7 linked regions of the Rattus norvegicus genome follow. The protein of the gene in region 3 interacts with the protein of the main gene of each other region in a biochemical or structural test. Links are inferred from orthologs where the notes say so. Each region holds a gene or a part of one and is shown on either strand. Other genes may lie near its edges.

Region 1 (4,092 bases), about 57 Mb from region 3:
CTTTCACATGGGAAGTGAATCTATATAACAGGGATGCTACATTCTGCCCCATCTCCATCCCAAGCTGTTGCTACTGGCTACCTGTTTATGGTAATAGCACTTCTGGCTGGGACTAAAGGTGTGTGCCCACACCTGGGAAGTTTAAGTTTTTGGAGACAAAGCTTGGGCTTATTCAGAAAGCATTTAGTACAATCGTTTGCAAGGCACTGGGAAAGACAGCAGCACTGCCGTTTTTGCTCAATCCAGCAATAGGATCTTGCTAAGACCCTCCTGGGGAACTAGAGGAACACAGCTTCTAACGGAAGGTATCACTAAAGTGCCCACAGAAACCAGCAGGCAAGTGGGCAAAGAAGATGTCTGGGAATAGTGGCCAGAGTTGACTTTTTTTTTTTTTTCCAGGAAAAGCCACACACCTGCTCTGTGTGGCCACTCTTTTTACATGTTGTAAATCCATTTATTTTCTAAATGAAGGCCGAACTGAACACTTCTGCAGGGCCGACTTGGGTCTAACCACCACCCCCACCTCTGACTAAAAGTTGTCTCTATTTGGGGCTTTGGGCCACACAGCTGAGGACAAGCTTGTATCCCAGGGCGGACGTCTGGTGTTTCTTACATGTCATCTGAATCATCTGAAAGTCTTGTTTGACTGGCAGGTCATGCCTGGAAAGTTTCTTTCCTTTGGGGTTAGCGGAGAGGTAGCTGAAGCTGACCTAGGCTAATCTGTAGTCTTGAACCCACGCCTCTCCTTTGCCTTCCTCGGTAATTCCCAGGTGCTGCAGATGCTACTGGCCCCTGGGTTGTTCAGACGAAGGCTTGAGCTACATTTCAGGGGCTGAGAGCTACTGCCACAGAGGCTGCCGGTCGGTTGCGCTGTGAAGGTGCATCTGCCTGCTAGTCGTGCCAGTGGTGGCGGTGCACTCCCAAGCTACCTCTTGACCTGGAGTTTCAGTTCTAGAAGGCCAGGTCGGGCGGAGGAAGGTGTTAGATCTTAATAGTTAGGAGAAGCCTCTGGAGGAGGCGCAGGTGAACCACATGAGCACGCCCCGGCCGAGGAGCAGAAAGCAGGACCGAATCCTGTTCTCCTAGGGATCTCTACCTAGTTCATTCGTTCCTGGTTTCCCAGGCAATCTAGAGTGCACTCTATCCTCCAGTACAAATTTCTCGCCCGCAAGATCGGGGTTTAAAGGCGGCTGCGCCGTAGAGCACTCCCATGGTGCCGCGCGCTGGGCGGGTTTGTATTTTAAATCCCCGCGGCCAATCAGCAACGCGCAGGCCCTTGTAACGTTCCCAGCGCTGCGTTTGAATTCGGGGAGGAGCGGAGCAGAGCAGGATCCTCTGCACCTACCCGGCCAGGTCCGTGGAGCAACATCGGCATCATGAATGCAGCGGCCAAAGCTGGAAAGCTGGCTCGAGCACCAGCCGACCTAGGGAAAGGTGGGGTCCCGGGAGACGCAGCTCCCGGTGCCCCAGGGGCCGCCCCGCTGGCGAAAGAGATTCCGGAGGTCCTGATGGATCCACGCAGCCGGCGGCAGTATGTACGGGGCCGCTTTCTGGGTAAAGGAGGCTTCGCCAAATGCTTCGAAATCTCAGACTCAGACACAAAAGAGGTGTTCGCAGGCAAGATCGTGCCTAAGTCTTTGCTGCTCAAGCCCCATCAGAAGGAGAAAATGTCTATGGAGATCTCCATTCACCGCAGCCTCGCACACCAGCACGTCGTAGGCTTCCATGGCTTTTTTGAGGACAGCGACTTTGTGTTCGTGGTTTTGGAGCTCTGTCGCAGGAGGGTAAGTGTTTCTGGGGCTCCTACACCTGGAACTTGCTGGCAAAGTGGCACCGAGGTTTTGGAGTGGCCTAGAGGAGTGTTTGGGTTTTATTTAAGCTGTTATGGAAAGGCTTCTAGCGACGGTACTTGGCACTCCGGATCCTGTTGCTATTAGTGAAGGGGCTCCTAGACGCAAGGCTGTGAGTGGGTACAGGAAATGGATGCGTAAATTGGCTAAGGAAGGGTTCCAGGCTTGAGGTGCCGAGGATCTCGAACTTCCGGAGTGAGGCAAGGTCGGGGGAGGGGGCGGCTGTTTGGAGTCAGACCTTAGAGCTTTCAGGAAAGGGAGGGGATCTCCTGCCAGGAGGAAGCCCTGGGATAGGGGATCGAGAGTGGGGTTGAGAGAAGACTCTGTATAAGGGCACTAGTTAAGAGGGTCCGGTGAATGATAGTGACGAGTTTATGGGCAGAGCTATCAGAAACCTGCCAAAACTCTCCACTCCGAGCGCCTAGTTGGCCATATTAAGCTGGCCACCCTACTTGGGCCTCAGTGACCTCTTTCCTCCTCAGTCTCTCCTGGAGCTGCACAAAAGGAGGAAGGCGCTGACCGAGCCCGAGGCCCGATACTACCTGCGGCAGATAGTCCTGGGTTGCCAGTACCTGCACCGCAATCAAGTCATTCACAGGGACCTCAAACTGGGCAACCTCTTTCTGAATGAGGATCTGGAGGTGAAAATAGGTGAGGTGCTGGGCCTGCGGGTGCCTGTGCCAGCCAGCACAAGAGTCGGGAAGGAGGGGAAGGCTGGGAGGAGGGAAAGAGAAGTGCTGCCCTCTGGAAAGGAAATGGAGGGGGGTGTTGCCTTTTTTAGATACATTGCTGTGCCTCAACTCAGTAGTTTTGAACTTGGGGTGCCTCCCCAAATACTCTTTATCCCCTAGCATTGAGCCAGACCCTCAGCCAATTTCTTTTTTAAACAGGAGATGGGGGACATAAGCTATAGGGCATGGCAGGCGGTATCTCCTCAGCTGTCCCCTTGAGTCTGACTTGCCAGTCCCTAGATCCCTGTCACTTCTTCACACACTTGCTCAGCAGCAATCACGAGATCACTTACTTGATTCTCCAGTGCATTTAACTTTATTTATATGAGGGATGGAGACAGGTTAACTTCAAGGAGTCCGTTCTCTCTTCCACTGTGTGGGTTCCAGGATCCTGACTCAGGTCATCATCAGCCTTGGCGGCAAGCCCCTTTACCTCCTGAGCCATGTTACCTAACCTTAACCCTGCTATCTAAAGAGGGGTTAAAGGGCAGTGGGAGGCCAGCTAGGGCCAGTACAGTGTGTGTGTGTGGGGGGGGGGGGGTGTTCCGGGACTATGGGGGTCTCAAGCCACTAAGTTGTCAATGCTCAGGCTTGAAACAGCTGTTTGCAACCTTAGACAGCTGATCTAAGTAGCTGAGCACCCTCTCTTCTTCCCTCTGTCCCAGGGGATTTTGGCCTGGCAACAAAAGTGGAATATGAAGGGGAACGGAAGAAGACCCTGTGTGGCACTCCTAACTACATAGCTCCCGAGGTGCTGAGCAAGAAGGGACACAGCTTTGAGGTGGACGTGTGGTCCATTGGGTGCATCATGTAAGTTGGCAATGAACTTGGGCTTCTGGGCCTCAGCAGGAGTCTCTGGGGCATCTCACCCAGTTGACCTTACCAAGTGGATCTTTCTACCTTACAGAAAGGCTGTTTTAGAGGACAGGCTGCCCCACATGAAACCCTGGTTTTCATGTCAGTCTGGCATAGGCTGTGGGGATCCCTGTAACTTGGACTTGTTTAAAAGCAGTCATAGACCAAAATCATCAACACCTGAGAGCTTGTTAGGAATTCAGAATCTGAGATCTGAACCTGGGTTTAATACAATCCCTGCCTGATTTTCCATGAAAATCAGGAAGCCCTGCTGAGTGCTGATGGGAGAGTTAGGCCAGCAGATAGTCTGGTGGTAAGCAGAACCCCCACCATGGTGGCCTCTGGAACCCTTGGAGAGTCCTCTGTCACTGCAGGCCAGAGCCAGGCAATCCCTGACACCTCGGAATCCAGGTGTTTTCACTTGCATTCTTCCTAGTGCTTGCCCAGCCTTTGGTTGCTGGGCAGACTTGGAGAGCATCCCATCCTTTCCCAGTCAGTGAATCCAGCACAGCTTCCCCAACTCTGGTCCCAAGACAATGACTTCTACATTTGGATTTTCCTTGGAGTTTGAACAGAATTCCTCCTTGTATCCCCAGGTATACCTTGCTGGTGGGCAAGCCACCTTTTGAGACCTCATGCCTAAAAGAGACCTACCT
Region 2 (3,917 bases), on a different chromosome or scaffold from region 3:
CAGACCAGGCAGGGCCGTATGGAGAGGCTAAGTCCTGCACATGTAGGGGCCACACTGAAGTCTGATTTTACAGTCGAAGTCTGGGGTGCCTAGAAAATGTACTCTTTGAAAATAAAATTAGACGCAAGTTGGTGGGAGCTCATTTCTGATCACATGACATATTCCTTACTGCCACCAAAAGATCTATCACCCTTGCTCTAGGGTTTCTCCTGTTTCTAAGCCCTAAAGTGGAGCTGGCACACATCCTTCCTTACCCAGTTGGTTTTGAGCTGTGGGGATTCTCCAGCCTTCCCAGTGTTTGTGCGCCAGGCTGTAGGACTGCTGCAGTGTCAGTCCTGTCCCATGGTGGCATGCTGTTGTCCCTCTGCATACTAGGTCTGTGCCTTCAGCTCCACCATCACCACTACATGAGCTCAGTTCAAGCTGCCACCCAGATTGATTTTGGTCCTGGGCCCAACCTTCCACCTCAGAAAGATGGCCATGCCACTCAGAAGCAGACATGAGCATCAGAGGAATGGCTTTATTGTCTTCTTTCTTCCTCAGTTTCACAGAGCCAAGTCAAAGCCCTCATGGGGAAAACAAAGCCATATGGGGCACAGCCATTCTGAAACCAACCCACAGTTCATACACCAAGGAAAAAAACCCAACAGAAATCCAACAACCACCCAAGCATCATCCTACCCCAAGCTGGACCGGGTTCTGGGCTAAGGGAAGGAAGGGCTGATCTAATATGGGTCCTCTCTACTGAACAAAACCCACAACCAGTCCAGGATCTGGGTACCATCCGAGTGGTTGCCTGGGAAGAATGGCTCTAGCTGGGGCTCCACCAGTCATGAACAGACTCACGGCACAGTTTGAGCCCTGGGATGGGTGAGAAGAACATCTTCAGCTTGAAAAGCTGGGCCCGGGCCCAGGCCCAGCCCACTGACCAACCTGAGAGAGGGTGGCTGGGTCCCAGGGACTGCTTGGGACAACAATGATGAACAGCTGCCTGCTTGTCCCTTGCAGTAGAAGGGATGCAAAACCAAACACACTAGAAGGCACGCTTCTCGGGAATTCCAGGGCCTGTGGGCAGAGACAGCCAAGGGAGGGCAGGGACCTGCACAGGAACCACCTCAGGATGAGGCCGGGAGCAGCTTCTCTAGGGCCTTCTTCTGCTTCTCCGTGGCTGAGGCCAAGGCCTCGGCCAGCTTTTCCGAGGGCATCATGTTGAGTACCTTAAGGGCAAATAGGAGCTGATATTTGGCAGTGCTGACGAAGGCGTTGCTCAGAAAGTTAGGGAAGCCTCCTACTCGATCCTTCTGTGTGTACAGTGGGACACGTACAAGGCCCAGGACCTGCGGGACAGAGGGCACGGGTGGGGCTGGGCTCTCCTGTAGAGGCAGGACTCTGGCAGAAAGGCCTGTCAGCCACCAGTTTGCCAGAGACAGGGAGACCCAGGCCCGGTCTGGCCAGGCATTGCTAATGCAGTAAAGCCCCTTCTCCCCAAGTTTCAAGGCCAATCCTACGCACTCCCCACCCTGTCTGGCTGCAACTCCCATGATCACTAGTTTCACTCTATGCCCTTTAGACCAGAGAATCCTCAAATCCCCAAATTTCCTCAGGAGGTAATCCTAAACGCTACAATCCGGTTTTTGTTTTGTTTGTTTTTTGTTTTGTCTGTTCTCAATTTTCCAAGCAGGCCCTGATCATCCCTTCCAGTGACCCCAAGCCCCACTCCCAGGATTGACAATGGCAGGCAACAAGGCAATGTAAACAGCCCATGACCCAGATCCCAAGTCCCTCTTCCCATCCAACAAAGCCAGGGTGAGGACCCTGAGGGGCACTTGTTACCCATTGGTGCCTTCTGTGGTGCCAGAGCCAAACCTCAGGAGTGGGAACGGGGGCGGGCCCCAGGCAGTAGTCCCACCTCCAAACCGTGGTCCCGCGAGTGCACAGCGCTGATCTCCACAGCATGCAGCTGTTCCAGCGTCAGCTGCCGTGCGTACAGGTGTGCCACCACACGGTGTGGACCCTCAGTCAGGTGTGAACTCAGGTAGTCAGCTTCAGTAAGGCGTAGGCCGCCCAGGCCCAGACCCAGGACCCGGTTCAAGCCATCCTCCAGTGACCAGAAGCGGCGGTCCACGAAACCCCCGGGAAAGCCCAGCAGCCCATCGAAGCGCATCTGCATCTGCAAGGTAAGCCTGGTCAGGACGCGGGGTCCACTGGGTGTCCCAAGCGATCCGCCCTGCTAGCCCGCCCGGCTCCTCACCAGTACTGAGAAACGCATGGGGATACGGCCGAAAAGTTGCCCGGGGTTGGCAGCGTACAGCATGGCGTGGCATGAATGGCTCCAGCCGGGCCCCAAGCGCATTGCTTCCTCCCGACTGATCTGCTTCAGCTCCGGAACCGTCGTGGTCGACATCTTGATGTGCTCCAGGCCCACTGCCCAAATGAGCATGCGCGACCCCGCCCACGACACATAGGCCCAATCCACGTGCTTCCACGTGCATAAGCCCGCCCCCACCAGCCCTGAGACTGGTGTTGAATCCAGCAAAGACTCGAGCTCTTGGTGGAGGCGGGGTGGGGGTGGGGTTATGTAGTTAGCTACTCTCCTTTACATAGGAGACCCCCCACGACTACCAGAAGACTACGGCTCCCAAGATGCACAGCACCGAGGCCAGGTTGTCCTAGGGAGGTACACTGATCATCAAGATGTGCCAGTCTCAAGTCCCAAACGTCATTGAGAGTGCAGCTGGAAATCTCAATATCCACCTCATCCATGATCTTTCCCTGAGGCTCGACCCGGAGCTTGTGACTCCACTGCCCTGTGAAATCATGCCTTTAAAGACTTAAGCATCTAAGTGACTCCAGCTCAAGTGATGGGTCCCCCTTGTCATAGGCTTTGCCCTCTGGTACATTGATTAGTACTCGGTAGACATCACAAGAGCTGGGGTGGGTATAAGAACTAGGACCATCTGCCCACCTGGAGGCTGAGATCCAGCAATTGCTCCGTGGAGGTGAGCCAAATTCTATGTCAGCTTCAGACAGAGCGAGCAACAAAACAAGCACAATGACCGTTGTCTGTGTGTGGAGGGGCTGCTCACTGCCCCTCTCACAGAAGCAAATGAAGGCAGCACCAAAACCTGTCAGCCAGTGTCCTGTCAGTACACCGAGAGCCAACAGTGCTGCCTACAGTGCTGTGGCAGAACAAAGGCGCACATAGAATATTGCTGCATGATTTTATTACTATAAATATACAGTAAAAATGAACCCAAACTAGCCAATCAGTACATCAAATGATAGTACATGTGAATCTGAGACAGGTAAGTGTGGAGTCTGCATCCCATCTTTCAAAGTACTGGCACCAGGCGCCAGGGTGTTGGCAGGTGAGAAGTGAGGGGTGGGCATGCACATGCTGACATGTGTGCACATATGTGCATTCAGAGAGAGAGAGAGAGAGAGAGAGAGAGAGAGAGAGAGAGAGAGAGAAAATACGGATGGATATGCAGACAGAACTGTGCTTACAGGCTTACCAGAGACCAGGCCAGTCACTGCTAGGAAGGAGCAGGGGGAGAGCCAGAGCTCAAGCAACCCTGAGCCTAAAGGGGTCTCCATGCATTGCTACAGGCTGTCACCTGGGTGAGTGGCAGGGCAGCTCCTTGGGCTGACTTCCCTCTCTAACTGACCAGGGAGCTGCATTGCCTGGGGCATCTCTGCCCTGGGGCCACCCTTGGGCTACTTCTGCCTTAGAAACCAAGTGACCCTAGGATCCTGTGACAGAAGCCTCAGACAATAAATCGGTAAGAAAGTAAAAGGACAGGTAACTGGCAATGGATGTGCTGTGGAAGCTGCTCAGGCTCGTCCCTGGCAGGTGGTGGGCAGTGTTGCCCTGCAAGCACAAGCATCTCCATCTTGGAGGCCTGTGAGGATGTGAG
Region 3 (3,500 bases):
GTCTTAGTTAGGGCTTCTGTTGCTAAAACACCATAACCAAAGCAGTACGAAGCCTCCAGCTTGTGATACGTCATCTTATGGAAGCCAAGGCAGGAAGCTAGAGACAGGAACTGATGCAGAGACGGTGGAGGAACACTCCTTGTGGGCTTGCCCAGCCTGCTCTCCTATACAACCCAGGACTACCTGCCTGGGGTGAAACAGCCTAGAGTGGGCTGGGCCCTCCCCCGTCAATCATTAATCTAGAAAATGTACCACAGGCTTGCCCACAGGGTAGTGGGGAGGGGGTTCATTTTCTCAGGTTAGGTTCTGTCCTCCAAATTGTCTAGTTTGTGTCAAGTTGACATAAAACAGGTCCCCACTTCTTAAAGGTCCCATCGCCTCCCAACGGTGCCGTACAAGCCAACCAAGCAACCCCATCTAAGCTGAAGTAAAGGAAGCAGGGGAAGAATGAAGGACAGCGTCTAGAATGTTAATCTGATTCCATCTTAAAGTTGATAGATTTGAACATAAGTACTGCTTTCTTCCCAAGATTCTTCCTTTATGCCCCTGGGACACATGCTCACCCAAAAAATAGCCTACCAGATTGCCTCGGGCCTGGCCTACCTGCACAAGAAGAACATCATCTTCTGTGACCTCAAGTCAGACAACATCCTGGTGTGGTCACTGAGCGTCAAGGAGCTCATCAACATCAAACTGTCAGACTACGGCATCTCGAGGCAGTCCTTTCACGAGGGGGCCCTGGGTGTGGAGGGCACCCCAGGCTACCAGGCTCCAGAGATCAGGCCTCGCATTGTGTATGACGAGAAGGTATCTGCCTGTCCCCACTGTCACCCCCAAGCCAGCCATGCAGAGCAGGAGCGCAGGACCAGTGAGAAGTCAGACACACAGTCCTGGGGCTCTGGGCTCACCTTCTCCAGAGTGTTTTCCTCTCTCAGTGAGGGGGATTCGAGCTCTGACCAGAAGGTACCAGGGTCCATGTCTGCCTGTTTGTTAACAGATTGACCTCTGCCCTTAGCTTTAGAGGTATATTTTAGTTTGTGTATGTGTGTGTGTGTGTGTGTGTGTGTGTGTGTATCTGTGTGTGTGTGTGTGTGCATGCATGTGCATGTGTGTGTGCATGTGTGTGTGCGCATGCGTATTGCTTGCTTGGAGACCCGGGCAACATGTTCACTGAACACAGAGGCTATGATAGAAACAATCACATTAAAAATTGCTGCCTCCAGGCCCGAGAGATGACTCAGAAGTTGAGAACACTGAGTGCTCTTCCAGGGGTCCTGAGTTCAAATCCCAGCAACCACATGGTGGCTCTTAACCATCTGTAACAAGATCTGGCACCCTCTTCTGGCATGCAAGCATATATACAGACAGAACACTGTACATAATAAATCTTAAAAAACAAAAACAAAACCCTGCCCACTCCATCTCAGACATTCTCTTATGAAAGATGTTCCCTGACTTACATGAGGTCTGCACAACTCTCTCCTTGCTGGATTTTTTAATGACAATTAGAATGAGAAAACACGTGAGACACCCCCTTTTTAATGAATTTCTTATATAGCCCTCTGGGGTCTTGGCTTCGGAGCCCTTAGTTGGCACCTGGTAGTTAACAATTTCTGTGTGTATGGCTGTCGTGTGGATGGACAAATGGATGGATGGGAGAATACATAAGTAACACAGAGAGAAGAAAGGATAAATGGACAGATAAATGCATGGGAAGATGGCGGTCAGAGGACTGTGGGTGTGTGGACATCGGGTAGGTAGATTGGACTGGGGAGAGCCCGTGTTTCCTGGTTGTGCCTTCCCATTCCTTCCTCCTCCTCGGGGCCAGCTTTCTGAGGTTGCTGAACCCAGGCAGGAGACCTAACTTGGCTTGCCCTCCTGCCCAGGTAGACATGTTCTCCTATGGCATGGTGCTGTATGAGCTGCTCTCAGGACAGCGTCCTGCGCTGGGCCACCACCAACTTCAGATTGTCAAGAAGTTGTCCAAGGGCATCCGCCCAGTGCTGGGGCAGCCAGAGGAAGTGCAATTCTATCGACTGCAGGCGCTCATGATGGAGTGCTGGGACACGAAGCCGGAGAAGGTACACAGAGCAGAGCGGAACGTGGGCCTGCCTTCCCCTGGTAGGGGCTGTGGGACTCCAAGGTGTGTGTGTGTGTGTGTGTGTGTGTGTGTGTGTGTGTGTGTGCGTGCATGCGTGCATGCCTGCCTGTCGTCTGTCTGTAGGAAAGTTACCTTTCTTTTTCTCTACAATATGTATATGCAGGACTAGAAGTATTTCAAATTTTGGAGTTTTTCAGATTTTTAGAATATTTCCATGTTAGTTGAATATACCCAATCCAAAAATCCAAACTCTAATATGCTCTGAGATCTGAACGTTTTGAGTTTCGCTCAATTCGCATATTAAATGCATTGTAGTAATGCAGTCCCCATGTAAAGTCAGAGGGACGGACCATATCTCTTTGGAAAGTTTGCTCACGAGAAGCTGGGCCTATATTACATTTTCAAAGAGAGTTCCTTGTTTGTTAGAAGAGGCCTCTAATTTCAAGTTTAGCACTTGTCCATCAAATCAGATAATTAATTAATACATTATGAATAGAATCTGAGACAGATCCCTTTCAAGAGTTTATGTCCCTGGACTTAAGGTAGGACACAACGGGCCTTTGACTCCAGAGCACCTGAGCTTATTACTGTGGCCATGATGACCCAGAGGCTGTGACGGGCTTTTATTTATTTATTTATTTATTTATTTATTTATTTATTTATTTATTTATTTTTGGAGTGGGGGAGGGTGTTCTGAAGCCTTTTCAGTCTTGTGTTAGGCTAATCCCCAAGTGGGAGGAGTCACACACTGCCCTGGCTTGTGCCAGGTGGCCCTGTATGGGGACCCACACAGCTGTGCTCACTATAGACTTTTCTCCCACAGCGTCCCCTGGCCCTGTCTGTGGTGAGCCAGATGAAAGACCCAACCTTCGCCACCTTCATGTACATGCTGCCCTGTGGGAAGCAGTCGTCCTTCTTCTCATCCCAGAGCCAGGAGTACACTGTGGTGTTCTGGGATGGGAAGGAGGAGTCAAGGTAATCTTTTCAGTCTGTACTTCACTACGTATGCCTCAGGTGTCACTGGGAACTGCTGTAGAGTGTAGGGAAGACCCCCTGGGAGGGGGAAAGAATTCCTGAGACCCAGAGGCAGGGCCTGGTAAGGAGAGAGGCCAGAGATGGAGTCTCCATGGAATAGAGGTCTTGGGTGATGGCCTGTGGGGTTGTCCAGCGCATGCTACCCCTCCTTCCCCTGACAGGAGAGCTTTGCACGTTAGTGTAGTCTAGGTGGTCCCAGTGGAGAGCATTTACAGGCCTTACAGTCCGGGAAGACTGAGATGGCGTGAGACTTGAATAGAGTGGGGTCAGCAGAACGGACTCTGAAGTTTGCATGGATCTTATGATCTTAGGTTGTCAGTGGGTAGACATGGACAGAGGGGAAATAAATTCATATTTCCAATTC
Region 4 (4,300 bases), on a different chromosome or scaffold from region 3:
CAACACCCGCTTCTCAAGCTTCTTCTTTCCAACGGGCTCCCAGGTAGCCCAGGCTGGCCTTAAATTGACTATGTTGCTGAGGATGACTCCTGATCCTTCTGCTTCTACCTCTCCAGTGCTGAGATGACAGGCCTGTGACACCGGTGTGCCACCCACTGAGTCCCCGTCCCAGACCCCACTTTTGGATCTTTGTTAACTGTAGGCAAATAGTAGTAGTACATGTAGAACAAACTTGTGCACAAGGTGCACTGGTAAGACAACAGCAGGAGGTCTCACAGGCGAGCCAGGTCCAGTCAGACAGCAGCTGATCACTGCAGAACACTTGGGTCACTACTGTCCCCTGTAGTGGGGCATCTGCCCCTGCAGTGTGGGTGGTGGGCACTGCGGTAGGCTGACTGCAGCAGGGAGGGAGGCTGTGACTCAGACACTGTCATCAGCAATAGGGGTAGTGAAAAGTGGAACTTCAGCCAGCCTTGCTCCAAGTCTCTGGGCCTCCCTGGCCAAGGATTCCTAAGTGGTACCTGCCTGGGGACTTATAGCTTCTGGTGTGGCTTCTCGGAGTGTCATGTCCACCGGGGCCAGGCACCTCTGTCCAAACTTGTGCTTAATTAATTAGTTAGGTTTTATTTGCTTTATTTTTTTTTTTTGAGGCAAGGTCTCACTAGGTAGCTCTCTATTGTAGCCCAGGCTAGGCTCCAGCTCACAGAGATCCTCCTGCCTCTGCTTCCCGAGTGCTGGGAGTGCTCCACAGCAGACTGGCTGATGTTTCTGAAAGTACAGACTGACCAGGCTGCAGCCTGCCTTGTTCGCCTCCCCAGACAGGGAGCTCTTTCCTACTCATAGCATCTGCGCGTGCCCGAGCCGTTCCAAGCTCCCAGCTTTCCCGGGGTGGGCAACGGAAGGCTAGGACTCAGCGGGGACCCGAGAGCACCCGGCACTCAGCAGCACCCCGCCCGGACGGAGTGGGAGGAGGAGCGGGAGGAGGTGGCAGCGCGGCCGTAGAGAGGCCGGCGCTAGGACCCGCAGGGGCTCCGAGCCGGTCCCCTCCATCCTTGCCCCAAAATGAGGAAGCCTTGCAAGTTGCTCGGAGTTGAGCCACCAGGGCGCTCGGCCGGCTGGCAGGGACCCTCCAGGGGTCGCGCCCTAAGCAGGTGAGCGCGTGTGCGTGGGTGGAAAGGGGACACCACTTCGAAACGGTCCTGGACCCAGGAGCGTCGGGTGCAACGGGCTGGTTTTTTTGTTTTATTTTGTTTTTCCTGGGTGCGGCGTGCGCGTCTCTGAGTGCGCGAGCCCCGGTGGTCACTGCAAAGCCCTTGTGCGCCTGAGGCACGCGCACAGGTGCACGGGTCTCGCTGGCGCCCGTGTGGCGCACACGGGGGTGGCTGGTGGCACCTGTGCCTGGATGCACGTGCGCCTCCGCCTGCGCGGCTGCCGTGCAAACCCCATTGAGCCCGAGGCCAGGAGCGCACCCCAACCTCCCGCCCTGCCCCCTGCCAGCCACCAGCCAGGGACCCAGGCAGCCACAGTCCTGCGGTGCCGCACTGGGATGGGGTGGGTCCTCTCAGATGTTTCTTTAGTGACCCGTGGTGACCTAAGGAGCCTGGAGCCTTACAGGAATCCGGCCTCTCCAGGCTCCGCTCAGGGTCAGATTTTCAAGAATGACCTTGAGTCACGGCCCCTGCCCACCGCCTCTGCCCACAGCCCAGGAAAGAGGAAGCCACAGGCCCAGCTCTTCCTCACACACGGCCCTGGCTTCCACTCGGGACACCAGAGCACTCCACTCCTACCTCAGTTTCCCTTCCCGAGCAAAGGCAGGGCGAGGTTCCCGAGTCTCCTGGCTGGCCTTTGGTGGCCGGGAGTCTAAGGATCTTCCTCGGGTAAAGATCACTTCCCTAAAGCCAAGGGCTGCAGAGGGGCTCCACACCTAAGCTATCCAAGCGGTGATCTGAGGGAGGCACTTTGCTTCCTGGCTGCTACCTCCGCCAGGCCAGGCCAGACCCTGAGGAAGGAACTGGACCTGGGGACACTCCCAGCATGAGACTGCCTCCCTTCACAGGTGAACCCTCAATTCTAAGGAGCTTGGCACCCCACGCCTGCTGCAGCTAAGATGCCAACGGTGAGTGTGGGGCCCTGAGTCACCGGACCTTTTGGGGAGAATAGGACATGCCCCCTACAGTCCCCAAGGACCCCGCCATACTGGCCTCTGTGGCTGTTTCCCTACGCCCTCCCTTCCTTCCCCAGACTTCCCTTTATCTTATTTGACTTCTGAGACAGGGTCTCAGTATGTAGGTGTGCTTGGGATTTGATGCGTAGCCCAGGCTAGTCTCAAACTCACAGAGGTTCACTTACCCCTGCCCTGTCATCCCCCAACCCACCCTGATTCTAGGATTACAAGTGTCCATCACCACGCCAGGCATCTTCCGTTAGTTTTTGAGACCAAGTCTCACTGTAGCCCAGGCTGTCCTTTAGCTGGTCTGGAACTCCTCCTGCCTGAGCCACTTGATAGCTTCCTACAGGCTTGTGTCTTCACTGTTCCCTTGTCCTGTCTTCTGTCCCCACCAGCCCCAGCTTTTTTTCAGGTCTCTCAGGTTTCCCACTTGTCCCGCAGTAGGTCCCTGACATCCCCCTATCCCCACCCCACCCCCCGCCTCTGTCTCCTTCCCAGCAACGCTGGGCCCCTGGGACTCAATGTATGACCAAGTGCGAGAACTCACGCCCCAAGCCCGGTGAGCTAGCCTTTCGAAAGGGTGACATGGTGACCATCTTGGAGGCCTGTGAGGTGAGAGGGGGGCTGGAGGGTAGGTGGTGTGCCTTAGGGGCGCCAGGGCAGACATCCACTGGCTCCTTCCCTCCACCTGTCCCCTTCCTGTGCAGGACAAGAGCTGGTACCGAGCCAAGCACCACAGCAGTGGGCAGGAAGGGCTGCTGGCGGCTGCTGCTCTGCGACAGAGGGAGGCCCTTTCCACAGACCCCAAGCTCAGCCTCATGCCGTGAGTGACACCCTGGGGGTGGCATGAAGGCCCCAGCCACCTTCCACGGTGGCCTCACACAGCACCCTCCCCACACATCCCCACAGATGGTTCCATGGCAAGATTTCCGGTCAGGAAGCCATACAGCAGCTGCAGCCACCCGAGGATGGGCTGTTCCTCGTGAGGGAATCGGCCCGTCACCCTGGTGACTATGTCCTGTGTGTCAGTTTCGGCCGTGATGTCATCCACTACCGTGTCTTGCATCGAGATGGGCACCTCACCATTGATGAGGCCGTGTGTTTCTGTAATCTGATGGACATGGTAGAGGTGACCTGTGGGGGAGGCTGGGGCGGGAGGGGTGGAAATGTGGATGGTGGGCCCCAGCAGCTGTCATTTCTGTCTTTAGAACTGGGGTCACCTCCCCAGGGCGCCCTCAGCTTCCATTCTAACACCCCACACTGTTGCCATGGGAACGTGCTCACCTTAGCCTGGCACTCAGGGGAGTCTGCCAACCTCATGGAGTTTGGGTTGGGGGTAGTGGAAATGGGATCTGAGAGCCAGAGGCTCATGGCCGCCGGCTTCCACAGCACTACACCAGGGACAAGGGCGCCATCTGCACCAAGCTGGTGAAGCCCAAGAGGAAACAGGGCGCAAAGTCCGCAGAGGAAGAGCTCGCCAAGGGTATGAGCACTGCTCCTGCGATAGGTAGCTTCTGCGTGCACACCAGGGAGACTCCCACCTCCCGGACTCCCACCCTCATGCCCCAGCCCTGGCTTGGTTAAGCCCTTGCACCTTGCAACCCTGTCACACTTTTCCAGTGGGGTCTGGAGTCCCAGAGACAAAAATCACAGTGGAGAGAGCTGTCTGTCGCGTTTGAATTTTCAGCGTGGGGGCAGGGTGGGGGCTAGAGGTCTTTGAGAGGGAGGGAAGGAGGGAAAAAGGGAGGGCTTTCAGAGACAACTGCAGGTCTGTGCAGAGTACAAGATTAGGGAGACTACAGCCCTGGAAGATTCTAGAACTTTTATTCTGTGTGGATCAGCAAGGGGAAAAAAGGTCCTCCCAGAGGCATGGAAGGCCACAAGGGCAGCCACACTTCTTGTCCCCAGAGGGAGGTCCTGGAGCCATGGCTCATGTCTAGGGGACCTAGGAGACCTAGGGGGATTGTACTCTGATGGAAGCCAGGGCAGCTCTGGCTTGCAGGATTTAAACGGTACCAGGAGTGGGGTGTCCTTCAGACAGCCTTAGTGCAGCTGCTGGGGCAGGCACATGCTCAGGTGTGCACAGCTGTGGGGATGGATGTCAGCTCTCCAAGTCTCACTGAATGCAAGCTG
Region 5 (4,161 bases), about 62 Mb from region 3:
TTTGGTTCATCCCAGCAGGTGCACACAACCAAATTGTCCAGCTCTTGTTTTCTGTGGCAAGCTTTTTGCCCTCCAGTCTGGGTCAGGATGATAAAGTCTTCTGATAAAGCTTTTGTGGCCATAAAGCAAGAGTTCCACTTGGCAGATCTTCTTCAGGATGAGGATCAGGGTGTGGTCTCCAGGTAGAAGAGAAAATTCCTTCCAGATGAACCAGTAGTGCTGAGAGCTGGTGTTTTTTCAGGGTCCTGTCTATAGCAAGATGCTCTCTTGGTGTAGGACTTGTGTTTCTTTTACCTACAGAAGAAACTAAGATCACACCTTCAATGAAGTTTCACAGTGATTCAGAATGGGAGAAAACCCTGGAGGAGAAAGGTGGTGTCCGTTTGGCCACCCTCTTCCAGCTCTAGTAGGATCACCTGAGCTATCTAGCCTGAGGGTGGGGGTGGGGCAGAGGTGTTCAGGTTTTGAGTTTTTTCCCAGAGCTCCAGATCTAAACCTCACTATTAAGTTAGATCTCACTGGTCCCACCTTTGCAGGAGCTGAATTTCAGCACCTTGACAGTTTGCTAAGGGGTCGGGGTAGGCTTCATCTTGTAACTAATTCAAGAGCTTTTTTGGGACCTACACCTGAGAGCAGGGCACCATGGGCTTCTGCCTAATTACTCAGCACCAATGCCAGCGCCACCTCCTGCGACGGCTGTCCCACTACAGAAACTAGGAACTAAGTGGGGGAATAGACATGGTGCAAATGACTTCCTGGGTTCTAAAAGGATTTGGTTTGGAAAGTGCCCGAGTGCTTACAACCAGAAGCAGGACTCAGGGAGAAAAAGATTTAAAAAAAAATAAATGGTCTCATGTTGTATCGCAGACTGGCATCAATCTCGCGACAATCCTGTTTCAATTTCCTGAGTGTTGGGATTGCGTTAAACTCGGAAACCCGAGTTTCTACTGAATGCCATTAGGCGTACATAATCCTATCCATAAATGCAAACTGAAACCCAAGGCCCCTGTTCGGTCTGTGTCCCTCCAACCGGGCCTTGGGAACCTCTTTTAGCAAACAGAACGCCACGTCTTCACCGTCTCCTCCATTGCAGAGGAATAATAAAACATTTCCCGCCATCTTCAAATCCCGTGAGGCAAGTACGGAGTTCACGCGAGTCTTTGCAGGTCTTACGTTACTTCCTGCGGAGAGTCGGCCTTGGCTAAAGGGATACATCCGCCCGTTCTGCCAGTCTTTTGGATAGAAGTGAAGCCACTTCCGGGTCCTATGGCAGTCTTCACAGTCTTTTTCCGGGTGATGGAGGCGGATGCCCCGGATGTAATACCGGCGAAAGCATCTTTCCTTTTCTTTCCCGTCTGACCCTGGATTCCTAGGTGAGCGTCAGCGGGTAAGATTGTTTGAATCCCTGCGGCTTTGCCTCGCTTCTAGCTTCTACGCCGAGTTGGACATGGCCGAGCAGGTCGCTATGTGGAATTCGGGTTCCGAGGCTACTAAGGCGCCAGCTCTTGCGTCCGACCGGCCTCTGAGGGCACTCGGGTGGGAGAGGTGGTTGAGCTCTGTAGCTTCGGACTGGTAGGGAAGTGATGACGTGGGGGGAACCTGCTCCCTACCCTCCCACACACCTAGGTGGGAGTACCCACAGGGTCCACGCGGGGGCGGAGATCCTTCACATGTTCTCCCTTTTGGGCCCCTGCATTGCCAAATCAATTCCGGACGTCGTACCTGCTAGTTCTTTCAGATGGTTTAGTGATCGGTCCTCTCTCAAATTTACCAGGAAAAATCTTTGTGGAGCCTGTACACTCTCGCGGCCCTCTCTTGTTACTTAATTTCCTCACTTCCTATCTTTTCCCGAGGTCCAGCTGGAGGAAATCTATTGCCAATCATGCCAAAGAGGAAAGTGACTTTTCAGGGTGTTGGAGATGAGGATGATGAAGATGAAATCAGTGTTCCCAAAAAGAAGGTGAGATGGCCAGATCTCTAAGTTCTATGGAGGCCTAAGGGGAAAGGAGAGGGAGCAGTCCAACGGGAGAAAAGCTGGAAGCCAAGGAAGGGTTAGTTTTTCCCAGTCACTGGGTTTGGAAGGATTCGAGTTTATGTACAGATCCTGGAATATTCGAGGAACTAGCCAGTCTTCCTTTCTCATTTACTTCGTCCTACTCATAGCTGGTGGACCCTGTGGCTGGAGCAGGTGGTCCTGGGAGCCGCTTCAAAGGCAAACACTCTTTAGACAGTGATGAAGAGGATGATGACGAGGGGTCCAGCAAATACGATATCCTGGCCTCAGAGGATGTCGAAGGTGAGCTATTTCCAAAGCATTAACTGTGTTGGAGGGACAGGTTTTAAGTAGGGAGGTGGGAGGTGTACTGCCTGTTTCTTTTTTGCATGTCTAGCATGGGGCCCCCCATGTCTTTGGTGCAGGTCAGGAAGCAGCTACTCTCCCTAGTGAGGGGGGTGTGAGGATCACACCCTTCAACCTGCAGGAGGAGATGGAGGAAGGCCACTTTGATGCAGATGGCAACTATTTCCTGAACCAGGATTCGCAGATCCGAGACAGCTGGCTGGACAACATTGACTGGGTGTGGCCCAGGATCTGTCCTGGCTGAGCTCAGCCTGGGAATGCTGGTGCTGGGCCTGGGTCCTGGTGGAGTTTGTAAGAAACGATAACTATCTTTCACTTATAGGTGAGGATCAAGGAACGGCCACCTGATAAGCAGCAGGTTTCGGACTCAGAGGAGGAAGGCAGCCTGGGTCAGACTCCAATGAGTGTCCAAGCCCTCCTGGAGGGACTTCTGGAGTTGTTACTGCCAAGAGAGACAGTGGCTGGGGCACTTAGGCGTCTGGGGGCCCGAGGAGGAGGCAAAGGGAACAGCAAGGGGACTGGACGGCCCAATTCTCCCCAGCGTCTAGACCGGCTATCTGGGTTGGCTGATCAAATGGTGGCTCGAGGCAACCTTGGTGTATACCAGGAAACAAGGGAGCGTTTGGCTATGCGACTGAAGGGTTTGGGGTGTCGGACCCAGGGATCCCATGACCCCACACCTCCACCCTCCCTGGACATGTTTGCTGAGGAAGTAACAGAGGGGGAACTGGAAACTCCAACCCCTACCCATAGAGAAGGTAAGAAGGGCACAAGAGGGGCAGTGTGGGCAGGAGACCGGGTGCTTGAGGCCCAAGTTTCTTCATTGTTTTAGAAGCAGATTCAGCTGGAGATGGTCTGATGGATGTGATGTGGGAGTATAAATGGGAGAACACGGGGGATGCTGAGCTGTACGGACCCTTTACCAGTGCCCAGATGCAGGTAAGCCCCTTCCCGCCCTGGCTGTCCACCCCAGCTTCTGTCATCTTGCCTCAGTTTTGTCCTCTGTTCTTACAGACCTGGGTGAGCGAAGGTTACTTCCCGGATGGTGTTTATTGCCGGAAGCTGGACCCTCCAGGCGGTCAGTTCTACAATTCCAAGCGCATTGATTTTGATCTCTACACATGAGCCCGCTAAGGGCCCCGTTTGGCAGCCCCTTCTTTCTTGAACTTGGCAGAGGAGGTCCCAACTGCCCTGGGCAGTGAGGATATTGGAGGCCACTCTAAAGCCAGTGTCTCTTTGTCAATAAAAGCCTTGAGTATGCATCAGGGCCTTGACTGGGCTAATGGCCAAAAGCCAAGGCTTCTCCATAGCTCCTTTTGGCTTCACCTGGTGGGTCCTTGAGTTTCCTCCCAAGAGACTTCCTCTCATGCTTCTCTGGTGTCTTGGACCACCTCCGTTTTGTTTCCCACCTTGGAGGCAGAGGGAGGGCCCATCAGGTGTCCTGTGTAAAATTCCCTCTATCACTCTGTTCTCTGTCATGCTGATCTTGGCTTTTAGGACCTCACATTCTCTGCCCTGGCAGCTCCTTTGTAGCTGGGACATTAGGAAGACTTTGAAATCCTATTGGGAGATCCTCTTAAACATGGATTCTCCCCTTCTCCCTAGTCTGGTTTTACTACCCCTCACCCTCCTGCAGTAGTTTCCATAGCTCTTAGGTGAAGTATGAACTTGGTAGCACTTCAAGGTTACTTGGGCCACCATGTGATACAGCGAGGGGCAAAGGGCAGGGACTTACTGGAGACCTCACAGTAAACTAGAGAGGTGGCCCATTCACCTATTCCCTGACCTTTCTTGGCATAAGC
Region 6 (3,998 bases), on a different chromosome or scaffold from region 3:
GGCAGAGGCCCACAGTTCCAGCACTGAGGCGGCTTGAAACAAGCAAACAAATAAACACAAGCTAACCCAAACCCAAACCTAAAACACGTACATCTGTGAGAGGATCGTCAGCATCAAGGTTGGCAGCAGGAATCTGGTCTAAGCGGGGCTTCTTGGACACCGAAGAGGAAGTTGTGTGTTCTGAAGAAAACAAACATTTAGCATATTGAAGTACATACTGGATTTTAAGTAACATTTTAGAAACCTTTGGGCAAAAAGAATCCACACAAAGCACAGTGACAGCAGGGACCCACCCTGTGACGGGCAAGTAAGTCTCTGATAAATACTTGTTGGTTAACATGGGGTGAATTAGTGAGCACGCAGATCACAGCGTCTCAGGAGACTAGCCAATGCTCACATGTGGTAGAAACATAAAAAGGGTAACTGATGCTTCTCTCAAAACTCATCAATTACATGGGGAGTCCCAGACAGAAGGCCTCGGGCGGGTTCCAGCTGCTGTAAAGTCAAAGTCTACTGACAGGAACTGAAAAATGGTTTTAAACACTTCAGGTCACCATGTCTTCAGTACCAATGCATGACAAGATGGGACTGGAATAAACCTCATTATTGTCTCTTATCAAAGAGGTATAGCTCACAACAATGTTAATTGTTTCCAATCACCAGGAAACAGTTTGCATCACATAACTATGTGACACACGAGGGACAGCAGATACCTCGGGTTGGACGGTCCCTATTTTTCTCCCTTGCAGCAGCTCTCTCCCTCTCTTCCAACTCTCTCCTGAAGTCACGGTTGCGAACCTCTTCAGGGGCATCCTGTGTGGTTTGTCTTAAGTAGAAAAACAAAACAAGCCAAAACAGGTCAAAAATGTTGCCCCCAGTTGTCAAGGAAAAGAACCTATATGGCTATAGCAACTTGAGACAATTCAGAATGTAAGTGTCAATCAAGAACAAAACGGAAGAGGACAATATCCCAATCAGAGTGCTATTAATACACTCGTGGGGTTCCGTATCACACAACTTCCTACAGCAGGACGTCTCTTGAAAACAGTCCTCCACTCAGGGCTGTTACAGCAACTCCCATACTCACTCAGAAGACTGAGCTGGTTATCATGACTAGTGAGGGCTTCATCCACACCAGCAATCCCTGCTCAATAGGAACTTATGCTGAAAGACCGTAGAGCACTTTACAACTACAGCAAATAATTGTATTGTAAACTTTTTGAAAGCCTTTTCTTGGAAGATCGGTAACTTAAATACTATTAATTTAGACATGATCATAAGTCATGGTTGGTTCCATTCTGTGAACAGGACAAATGAAAGGCTTCTTACCTGTACTTTATCTTTGTATGAGAGGGAAGGTCTCTGCTTGAATACTGCTTGGAGAGCTGGCTCAAATCACCTTCTCCTTTTCCTCTCCCACCTCTTGCAGGTTCAAAAGTTGGCCTGGCTGCTGTTGTCATCTTCTATTCTTTGACAAACATGGGTTTAATTATACTTTCATTTTATAGATCATTCATAATTACCTGTCCTTAAATCATTCTCAAAACTCTCCCCAGAACTGCTTAAGTAGTTTGCTTCAGTACAAGTCTCTAAAGAGCAGAATCATGAAATTCAGGGTGTTTACTAGATATGCACTGCCAGGCAGCTCTTATTTGATATAAATAACTACTCTGAAGGTCTGAGTCTGTGCTTCTGTTTTAGCTGGGTAGCCCTGCGCAAGTCTCCTAGCTTGATTCTATCACTTGTGGAATGTTGATACTTCTATAGAATTATTATGAGATTTCTGACACGTGATGTCAGATCTTGGACAACAGTGTAGTGTGGCTTTTAAAATAAATGACTTAAATTTTTTTTTTATATCCCACTAGCACTAGGTTCTCTGAGATTTTGTTTTATTTATTTTTTATGATAGGATCTCACAATGTATTTCTGGCTGAATTAGAATTCACAATGCAGATCAAGCTGGCCTAGGACTCTCCAGAGATCTACCAGACTGCCTCTGCACTGCTGGAATTGTCCGGCCAAGATTTGCATTTTTATCAGAAACCTCACACTACAGCAAATGGACCAATAAAAAACAAATTTCTTTTAAAGTTACAGGCAAACTTATTGAGTGTCTTAGAGTTTGTTTAAAACCCAATGACATTTACACTGGCAACATTACCCCAGAATCTTGTTGATTCAATTTCCCTCTAAAGCAGTTACCGCAACATTCGTAAAGCTTTGGTAGGCTGTAACTTAACGCAATCCTAAGAAAATCGGAACTCCACTCAACCAAACATCAAGAACTGGGCATGACTGGGTACTACTCCTGTGATTCCAGAGCTTGGGGGGTGAGAGCAATAGAATCGGGAGTTCCAAGCTAGCCTAGGCTACCAGAGAACCTTTTGCAATTTTTAGCTGTCAAATAAGAATTCCAGCCTAACTACAGGGCTACTAAATCTCCGTTAGCTTAAGCAGCATGCTCAGACAGACCGTGTGGGACGTGGGAGTTTCTACCCCATCCTACCCTCCTTTGCTTTTCTCAGTGTCAGCGGTGCCGCGCCGGTGACCGCCCCGAGCTCGGCTGCAGCTCCCGACCGCCATTCCAGCACCGCGGCCCGGACGATAGTCACGGCTCTCCGACTCCCCGGTGCGGCCCGCACAGGGACCACAAACCACTATGCCCTGCTACTCACTGTGGCGGGGGTTCGACGCAGTGCCTTCAGAAGCTCACTCACGAACCATTGCGACCCTTAACTCCCAGAAATCTCTGCGCAAAACCGGAAGCAAAATGCAGAACTTCCAGTCTCTACACCTGGGACTCAACTAAGACCCGGAAGCAAAATCTTCGCGCTCCCAACGGCTGTGTAGAAGACGCGAACTCCACACCCGGAAGCAAATCCCGAGTTGGTTTTTTTTTTTTTTTTTTTTTTTTTTTTTTTTTTTTAACCGTCTTTTAGAGGCTGACCCAGTGACCAATCCGCAGAGACACGGGAAAAAGATGGAGTGACGTCGCCTAGGGGCGGAGCCAAGGCTGCTTAGGGGGCGGGCGTTTGAAACCGGTGCTTCATAGTCGACCCCAAATATCATCTTGTGCCTTTGAGAACCAATTACTTAATCTCTCTTGCGTCTTTTCCTTTCCCGACCCCCTCCCAGACTCTTTCGCTGCGGTTCTGCGAGGACGGAAGGCGCCAGGAGCCGGTCCGCGTCTCGCAAGCGTTGAGATCTGAGGAGAGCTTGCCAACTGACCGACCCAACGGCTCCTGCTCCTCAGTAGACCCCGCAGCCTAGGGACTAGAGTTGTCACTTAAGTGGATATGAAGAAGGCGCAAATAAGTACGGGGGCAGCCACGAGCTTTCCAAAGGTACCATTCCTGCGAAACCACTGGCCTTGAAGGCAGGGGTTATAGTCGCATTGCTTGTTAAGATATATAAATATATATATATATATACATAGCTATATGCATTAAGCGTTGTAGTGTGAGAGGAGATGCCGTGAGCGTTTACGATAGTGAGAATTTATGGAACAGTGGGCCTAACTGCCAGGAGGAGCACGAGATGGGTAAGATGGCTTCGCCAACGTTGTCTTGGTGTCCATCATTGAGATTTTGGGGACGGCCAATGCTCGATAAAGAGAATTCTGTTCTCCAGTTTATCTCAAGTGGAAGGATCTCCTAAAACTGAACATTTCAGTTCTTCCCTGACCTTCCTTTGGAACTTTTAAATGAAGAAAGAGAATTATAAAAGAACCCCCCCCCAATGTGCCTCCCCTGAAAGTAGAAGGTGAAAAGCTTCGTTTCTTTCTTTTTTTTTTTTTTTTTTTAATTTATGGAAGGTGTGCACCTCTCTCAGCCTCACACAAAGGACGCTGCTATCATATTAGTGGCTCCAACCCAAAGCTGGAGACCCTCTACCTTCCCTCATCACATCCTGTTCACTTGCCATGCTTGCCCAGTATTGTGAAAATTACCCTGAGCTTCCCTTCCCTGTTACTAACCCTCAATTCAGGCCACTGG
Region 7 (4,255 bases), on a different chromosome or scaffold from region 3:
GCACCAGGTAGCTGTCCTGGGGCTCTGCAGGCTTGTCTGCCCCCTCACCCAGGCTGTATGAGACGCCCCCCCTCCAGGGTCTGTGCTTCCTCTCTCTCCCCTGAAGCTCTGCACCTGCATGAGGTGGTGGCTTCACTCCTGGCCAGGGACGGAATCCACAGGAGGTGGGGCCCCTGGGAAGAGACTGTGGACTTCCGGGTCAGTCCAAGTTCAGCAGTCGTTTATTGTGCTCCAAGAGCTTCCAATCCCGGTTCTTGCAGCCTCCCTTCCAAAGGCAAGCCCGAGACAGAGCCAGGTTCACTTGGCCTGGGTCCTGTAATTCTTGGCAGGTCTATAGTCCTTATGGGAGAACCAGTTGGGGTGAAGTTCAGGCAGCAGGTCTGGGCATACATCTGCCCATAGTCCAAGTTTGCAGTGCTCTCTTCACAAGATGAAGCGTCTACAGACAGCTCTAAGGCACTAGAGATCTACAAGAGTTCTGGGGTCGAGTTACTAACCATCGGAACCATGATGGGGTCCTGGGTGACCCCTCAGGCCCCTGCTCAGAAATGCAGTGAGCTCTTGCACCTGGGCTAGAAACAGCAAGTAGTACTTGAGTGTATGCTGCAGCGTTAGCAAGCCAGGAACTGTAGCCACTGCAAAGAGTGACAAGGAGGTTCTGGGGACATTTTTTTTTTGAGTTCCTAGAGCCCCCACCCAACTTGTGCAAAGATGCTCCCTACTCACTCGAGGCAGTGGCAGAAACCACGCAGCGAAGTTTGACTGCGGCGCACAGATCGGCAGAAAGCCGAGTTTTGCTTCTCCAAGTCCCGGGTGGGGGATGTTAGCGGCCAACAGCTGATGCAGCAGCGGCTAAAAATGCCTCATCTACAGACCTGGGGTCAAAGGGTCTTGGTGCAGGCTCTCTCCACGGAAACCTGCTGGCACCGCCCTTGAAGAAGCTCCGCCCCATGACCGCAGAAGGGGAGCGTCCAGCCGCGGACCCGCAGCTACCTCTATAGCAACCGCAGCAGGTCCTTTCGAGTCAACGCGTCACGTGCTTGTTTCTCAGCCAGTAATGGCCGCAGGCAGCTTCTCCCGATTCCCGAGGAAGCCTCTCGAGGGTGGTCTGACCTGCGGGCCTCTCTCCTTCCCTCAATTCCGCCGTCCTACCAGCGGTCTAGACGTTCCCAGGCTGCCGCATGAGCCCGCGTGCGCCCCGGTGGCGCGCTAGGACCTGGGCCTAGTGACCGGCCCTCGGAGCGCCACTTCTCCAGCACGGACCGCTGCCACGTTCGCGTGGCGTGGGCCGGAGGGTGGGGCTTGACTGCCAATGGGCGGAGCCTTGGTCTGAATATTGAGGGTAGGTCCTAGTTACTGTAGGGCGGGGCCGGTAGAGAGCGCAGCGGTAGCTTCTCCGGGCTAAGCGAACCCGCTCAATCCGCGAGGCTCCGCCTTTGCTCACGTGTCCCCATGCCAGCCCCGCCCCACACCGGAAGTTCCGGTGGCGGATCGCCGACCGGGCGGAGCTGATAGCTGCGCGGGCTGCGAGATCTAGGTGGCCGGGCGCGGAGCCCAAGCCGTGCCGCGCGGCGCCATGAAGGGCAAGGAGGAAAAGGAGGGCGGCGCGCGGCTGGGCACTGGTGGCGGCGGCAGCCCTGATAAGAGCCCGAGTGCGCAAGAGCTCAAGGAGCAGGGAAACCGGCTCTTCGTGGGCCGCAAGTACCCGGAGGCGGCGGCCTGCTACGGCCGCGCCATCGTGAGTGCGGGGGGCGGGGGCGGGGGCGGGGCCCGATGTGCCTCCCAGTTCTGTGATTCCCGGACGATTTCTGGCAGCCTAGACCCGGATTGCTGTTCCCGAATCCAGGGCAGATTGACTGGGGACTGGCGGGCGGGATGCTTGATTGAGGCAAGCTAAGGATGACACCAGAAATTCTTGCCCCTTGAGGCTCCCAAGCCTAAAGCTGGTGGAGGGGTTCTGGGATTTTTCTCAAAAACAGTTGGAGGCAAGAGAGCATGGCTAGAATCCAGAGCTCTGATAACTCGGAAATCTCCAGTTCCTCTCTTCCACCCATGGGCCCCCAATGCTGGAGAATTGTCCGGATCATTGGCTTTCAGCTTGCTATTAGAGAGGGGATCAGATGAGCCCACATTCTTTGTCACCTGATCTTGGTTCCCAGACCCGGAACCCACTTGTGGCAGTGTACTACACCAACCGGGCCCTGTGCTATCTGAAGATGCAGCAGCCTGAACAGGCACTTGCTGACTGCCGGAGAGCCCTGGAGCTGGATGGGCAGTCTGTGAAGGCGCACTTCTTCCTGGGGCAGTGCCAGCTAGAGATGGAGAGTTATGATGAGGCCATTGCCAATCTGCAGCGAGGTGGGCTGACAAGATGCCAGATTGTGGGCACCTTTGGGGCCAGGATTGTTGACAAGTGTAACCTAAAGTGTCCACTCCCCCAGCCTATAGTTTGGCCAAGGAGCAGCGACTCAACTTTGGGGATGATATTCCTAGTGCCCTTCGCATTGCTAAGAAGAAGCGCTGGAACAGTATCGAGGAACGGCGCATCCACCAGGAGAGTGAGCTGCACTCCTATCTCACCAGGCTCATTGCTGCTGAGCGAGAGAGGTGGGTCCCGCCCCCAACAGTTAACACCGAGTCAACAGTGCAAGTGTTTATTAAAGGACAGCAGCCGGTACATGGGAAGCCCGGGAGGAAAGAGGCCTGAGATGGGAAGGGATCTGTCATTTCCCTGTTGGGGCCATCACCAGCTGGCTTTTTCTTGACCCTCAGGGAACTGGAAGAGTGTCAGCGGAACCACGAGGGTGATGAGGATGATGGCCACATCAGGGCCCAGCAGGCCTGCATTGAGGCCAAGCACGTGAGGGTGCCCCTAGTCCACATGTGGGTCGTTGTGTGTGTGTTTTTGTGTGTGGCATGAGAAGTGCCCCAGCCTATGGTGGCTCTGTTGGCCCATGCATGACATGAGTGCCCCGGTGGACAGAGTGTGTGTGTCTGTGTGGAGGAGACAGGAGTTGCCCACACATGGCGCTCAACTCTGCAGGATAAATACATGGCGGACATGAATGAGCTCTTCTCTCAGGTGGATGAGAAAAGAAAGGTAAGGACGGAGCCTTGAAGCTCATGGGCAGGCTCTGGTATGGTGACTTCCTTTCCAGTTGCAGACATTTCCCTCTTGTGCTGCAGAAGCGAGATATCCCTGACTACTTGTGTGGCAAGATCAGCTTTGAGCTGATGCGGGAACCCTGCATTACACCCAGTGGCATCACCTATGACCGCAAGGACATTGAGGAGCACCTGCAGGTAAGGAGGGCCTGTGGTCTCGGGACTGGGATCAGGGGACACTCAGGCCATTGAATACTCTTGACTCTGTCGTTGCAGCGCGTGGGCCATTTCGATCCTGTGACCCGGAGCCCTCTGACCCAGGAACAGCTCATCCCCAACTTAGCCATGAAGGAAGTCATTGATGCTTTCATCTCTGAGAATGGCTGGGTAGAGGACTACTGATACCCCATGTCCTGCCTGGCACCCTGGCCCAGGAGGGTCTGGAGGCAGAAGCTCCAGTCCCTGTATATAGTTTGTGTCCCTGGGCCTGCCCCCATCGGTCCTGATGATGGGTTCTGAACTGCTCCCCTTCTCAGCATATCCCTTGCTGGGCCATGAGCCTCCCTTGTCTCCCTTCTGGGCTGGAGAGCTGGTGAGGGTGGGTTGCTGCTGCTGCTGCCACTGTCCTGTAATAAAGTCTGTGAGCACTACATTGGCATGTGCTGGTGCAGTGGGCTTGCCAGTCGCTTGTTGGCTAGCCAAGGAAAGTGGATATGAAGACACTGGTGTCCAGATTGAGTGTGGCATGCCACCACCGATCAGGAAAGTACAGCGCCTGGGAGAAGGGGCACGGAAAAATAGTCTGATTCCCTAGTTTTTGGGTTAGCCCAACCCCCACCTACCAGCTACTGACTTCACCAGCCTGGATGGTACATTCTAGAGGCCGAGCTGATGGGGCTAGAGATGGGTATATTTCCAGGAGCCAGGCCAACGTGGTCTTGTTAGGGTGGAACTCAGGTGTCTTCTCAGGAGGGTAGAGGAACCAGCGCTGGAGGCAGGAATGTTAAGGTCACTCTCATGTGCTATGGACTACAAACACCAAATTCATGCCCCACCCTTGCACTGACCTTCCGACCATAGATAACCTCTGAGAAACCAGGCCCATGCCAGTGGAAGGGTACCCCAGATCCAGCTCCTGTGGGGTCAGTTG

The links.
Region 1: the proteins of Lrrk1 (region 3) and Plk1 form a complex in vitro, tested with the Homo sapiens proteins (2 studies listed by BioGRID, with this or other methods). The link is inferred for Rattus norvegicus from reciprocal best matches to the Homo sapiens genes LRRK1 and PLK1.
Region 2: the proteins of Lrrk1 (region 3) and Nudt16l1 form a complex in vitro, tested with the Homo sapiens proteins (2 studies listed by BioGRID and IntAct, with this or other methods). The link is inferred for Rattus norvegicus from reciprocal best matches to the Homo sapiens genes LRRK1 and NUDT16L1.
Region 4: the proteins of Lrrk1 (region 3) and Matk form a complex in vitro, tested with the Homo sapiens proteins (2 studies listed by BioGRID and IntAct, with this or other methods). The link is inferred for Rattus norvegicus from reciprocal best matches to the Homo sapiens genes LRRK1 and MATK.
Region 5: the proteins of Lrrk1 (region 3) and Cd2bp2 form a complex in vitro, tested with the Homo sapiens proteins (2 studies listed by BioGRID and IntAct, with this or other methods). The link is inferred for Rattus norvegicus from reciprocal best matches to the Homo sapiens genes LRRK1 and CD2BP2.
Region 6: the proteins of Lrrk1 (region 3) and Cwc15 form a complex in vitro, tested with the Homo sapiens proteins (2 studies listed by BioGRID and IntAct, with this or other methods). The link is inferred for Rattus norvegicus from reciprocal best matches to the Homo sapiens genes LRRK1 and CWC15.
Region 7: the proteins of Lrrk1 (region 3) and Stub1 form a complex in vitro, tested with the Homo sapiens proteins (2 studies listed by BioGRID and IntAct, with this or other methods). The link is inferred for Rattus norvegicus from reciprocal best matches to the Homo sapiens genes LRRK1 and STUB1.

Annotation. Positions count from the first base shown.
Region 1 is NC_086019.1:186,146,366-186,150,457, forward strand, and holds the start of Plk1 (serine/threonine-protein kinase PLK1), read left to right. Parts: upstream 1-1,292; 5' UTR 1,293-1,376; coding exon 1,377-1,784; intron 1,785-2,332; coding exon 2,333-2,501; intron 2,502-3,246; coding exon 3,247-3,391; intron 3,392-4,032; coding exon 4,033-4,092. UniProt on the Homo sapiens protein: Serine/threonine-protein kinase that performs several important functions throughout M phase of the cell cycle, including the regulation of centrosome maturation and spindle assembly, the removal of cohesins from chromosome arms, the inactivation of anaphase-promoting complex/cyclosome (APC/C) inhibitors, and the regulation of mitotic exit and cytokinesis.
Region 2 is NC_086028.1:11,142,126-11,146,042, forward strand, and holds Nudt16l1 (tudor-interacting repair regulator protein), read right to left. Parts: upstream 2,418-3,917; 5' UTR 2,405-2,417; coding exon 2,252-2,404; exon of another isoform or gene 2,171-2,251; coding exon 1,910-2,170; exon of another isoform or gene 1,338-1,909; coding exon 1,116-1,337; 3' UTR 501-1,115; downstream 1-500. UniProt on the Homo sapiens protein: Key regulator of TP53BP1 required to stabilize TP53BP1 and regulate its recruitment to chromatin.
Region 3 is NC_086019.1:129,264,631-129,268,130, reverse strand, and holds part of Lrrk1 (leucine-rich repeat serine/threonine-protein kinase 1), read left to right. Parts: intron 1-368; coding exon of another isoform or gene 369-421; exon of another isoform or gene 422-512; intron 513-529; coding exon 530-807; intron 808-1,886; coding exon 1,887-2,081; coding exon of another isoform or gene 2,082-2,143; intron 2,144-2,924; coding exon 2,925-3,076; exon of another isoform or gene 3,077-3,500.
Region 4 is NC_086025.1:9,109,947-9,114,246, reverse strand, and holds the start of Matk (megakaryocyte-associated tyrosine-protein kinase), read left to right. Parts: upstream 1-1,500; 5' UTR 1,501-1,551; intron 1,552-1,588; exon of another isoform or gene 1,589-1,877; intron 1,878-2,056; 5' UTR 2,057-2,107; coding exon 2,108-2,116; intron 2,117-2,665; coding exon 2,666-2,779; intron 2,780-2,874; coding exon 2,875-2,990; intron 2,991-3,076; coding exon 3,077-3,296; intron 3,297-3,556; coding exon 3,557-3,650; intron 3,651-4,300.
Region 5 is NC_086019.1:191,241,092-191,245,252, reverse strand, and holds the start of Cd2bp2 (CD2 antigen cytoplasmic tail-binding protein 2), read left to right. Parts: upstream 1-1,361; 5' UTR 1,362-1,373; exon of another isoform or gene 1,374-1,387; intron 1,388-1,420; exon of another isoform or gene 1,421-1,459; intron 1,460-1,853; exon of another isoform or gene 1,854-1,859; 5' UTR 1,860-1,882; coding exon 1,883-1,960; intron 1,961-2,161; exon of another isoform or gene 2,162-2,163; coding exon 2,164-2,296; intron 2,297-2,418; coding exon 2,419-2,576; intron 2,577-2,681; coding exon 2,682-3,117; intron 3,118-3,191; coding exon 3,192-3,298; coding exon of another isoform or gene 3,299-3,373; coding exon 3,374-3,484; 3' UTR 3,485-4,161. UniProt on the Homo sapiens protein: Involved in pre-mRNA splicing as component of the U5 snRNP complex that is involved in spliceosome assembly.
Region 6 is NC_086026.1:19,585,718-19,589,715, reverse strand, and holds the start of Cwc15 (spliceosome-associated protein CWC15 homolog), read right to left. Parts: upstream 2,801-3,998; 5' UTR 2,679-2,800; exon of another isoform or gene 2,510-2,678; intron 1,469-2,509; exon of another isoform or gene 1,464-1,468; 5' UTR 1,461-1,463; coding exon 1,330-1,460; intron 827-1,329; coding exon 714-826; intron 181-713; coding exon 92-180; intron 1-91. UniProt on the Homo sapiens protein: Involved in pre-mRNA splicing as component of the spliceosome. Component of the PRP19-CDC5L complex that forms an integral part of the spliceosome and is required for activating pre-mRNA splicing.
Region 7 is NC_086028.1:15,354,778-15,359,032, reverse strand, and holds Stub1 (E3 ubiquitin-protein ligase CHIP), read left to right. Parts: upstream 1-1,473; 5' UTR 1,474-1,576; coding exon 1,577-1,738; intron 1,739-2,159; coding exon 2,160-2,358; intron 2,359-2,441; coding exon 2,442-2,607; intron 2,608-2,640; exon of another isoform or gene 2,641-2,772; coding exon 2,773-2,860; exon of another isoform or gene 2,861-3,043; coding exon 3,044-3,100; exon of another isoform or gene 3,101-3,186; coding exon 3,187-3,303; exon of another isoform or gene 3,304-3,381; coding exon 3,382-3,507; 3' UTR 3,508-3,755; downstream 3,756-4,255. Other genes in the region: Jmjd8 (jmjC domain-containing protein 8), read right to left, coding at 3,800-3,880, 3,959-4,093, 4,173-4,240. UniProt on the Homo sapiens protein: E3 ubiquitin-protein ligase which targets misfolded chaperone substrates towards proteasomal degradation.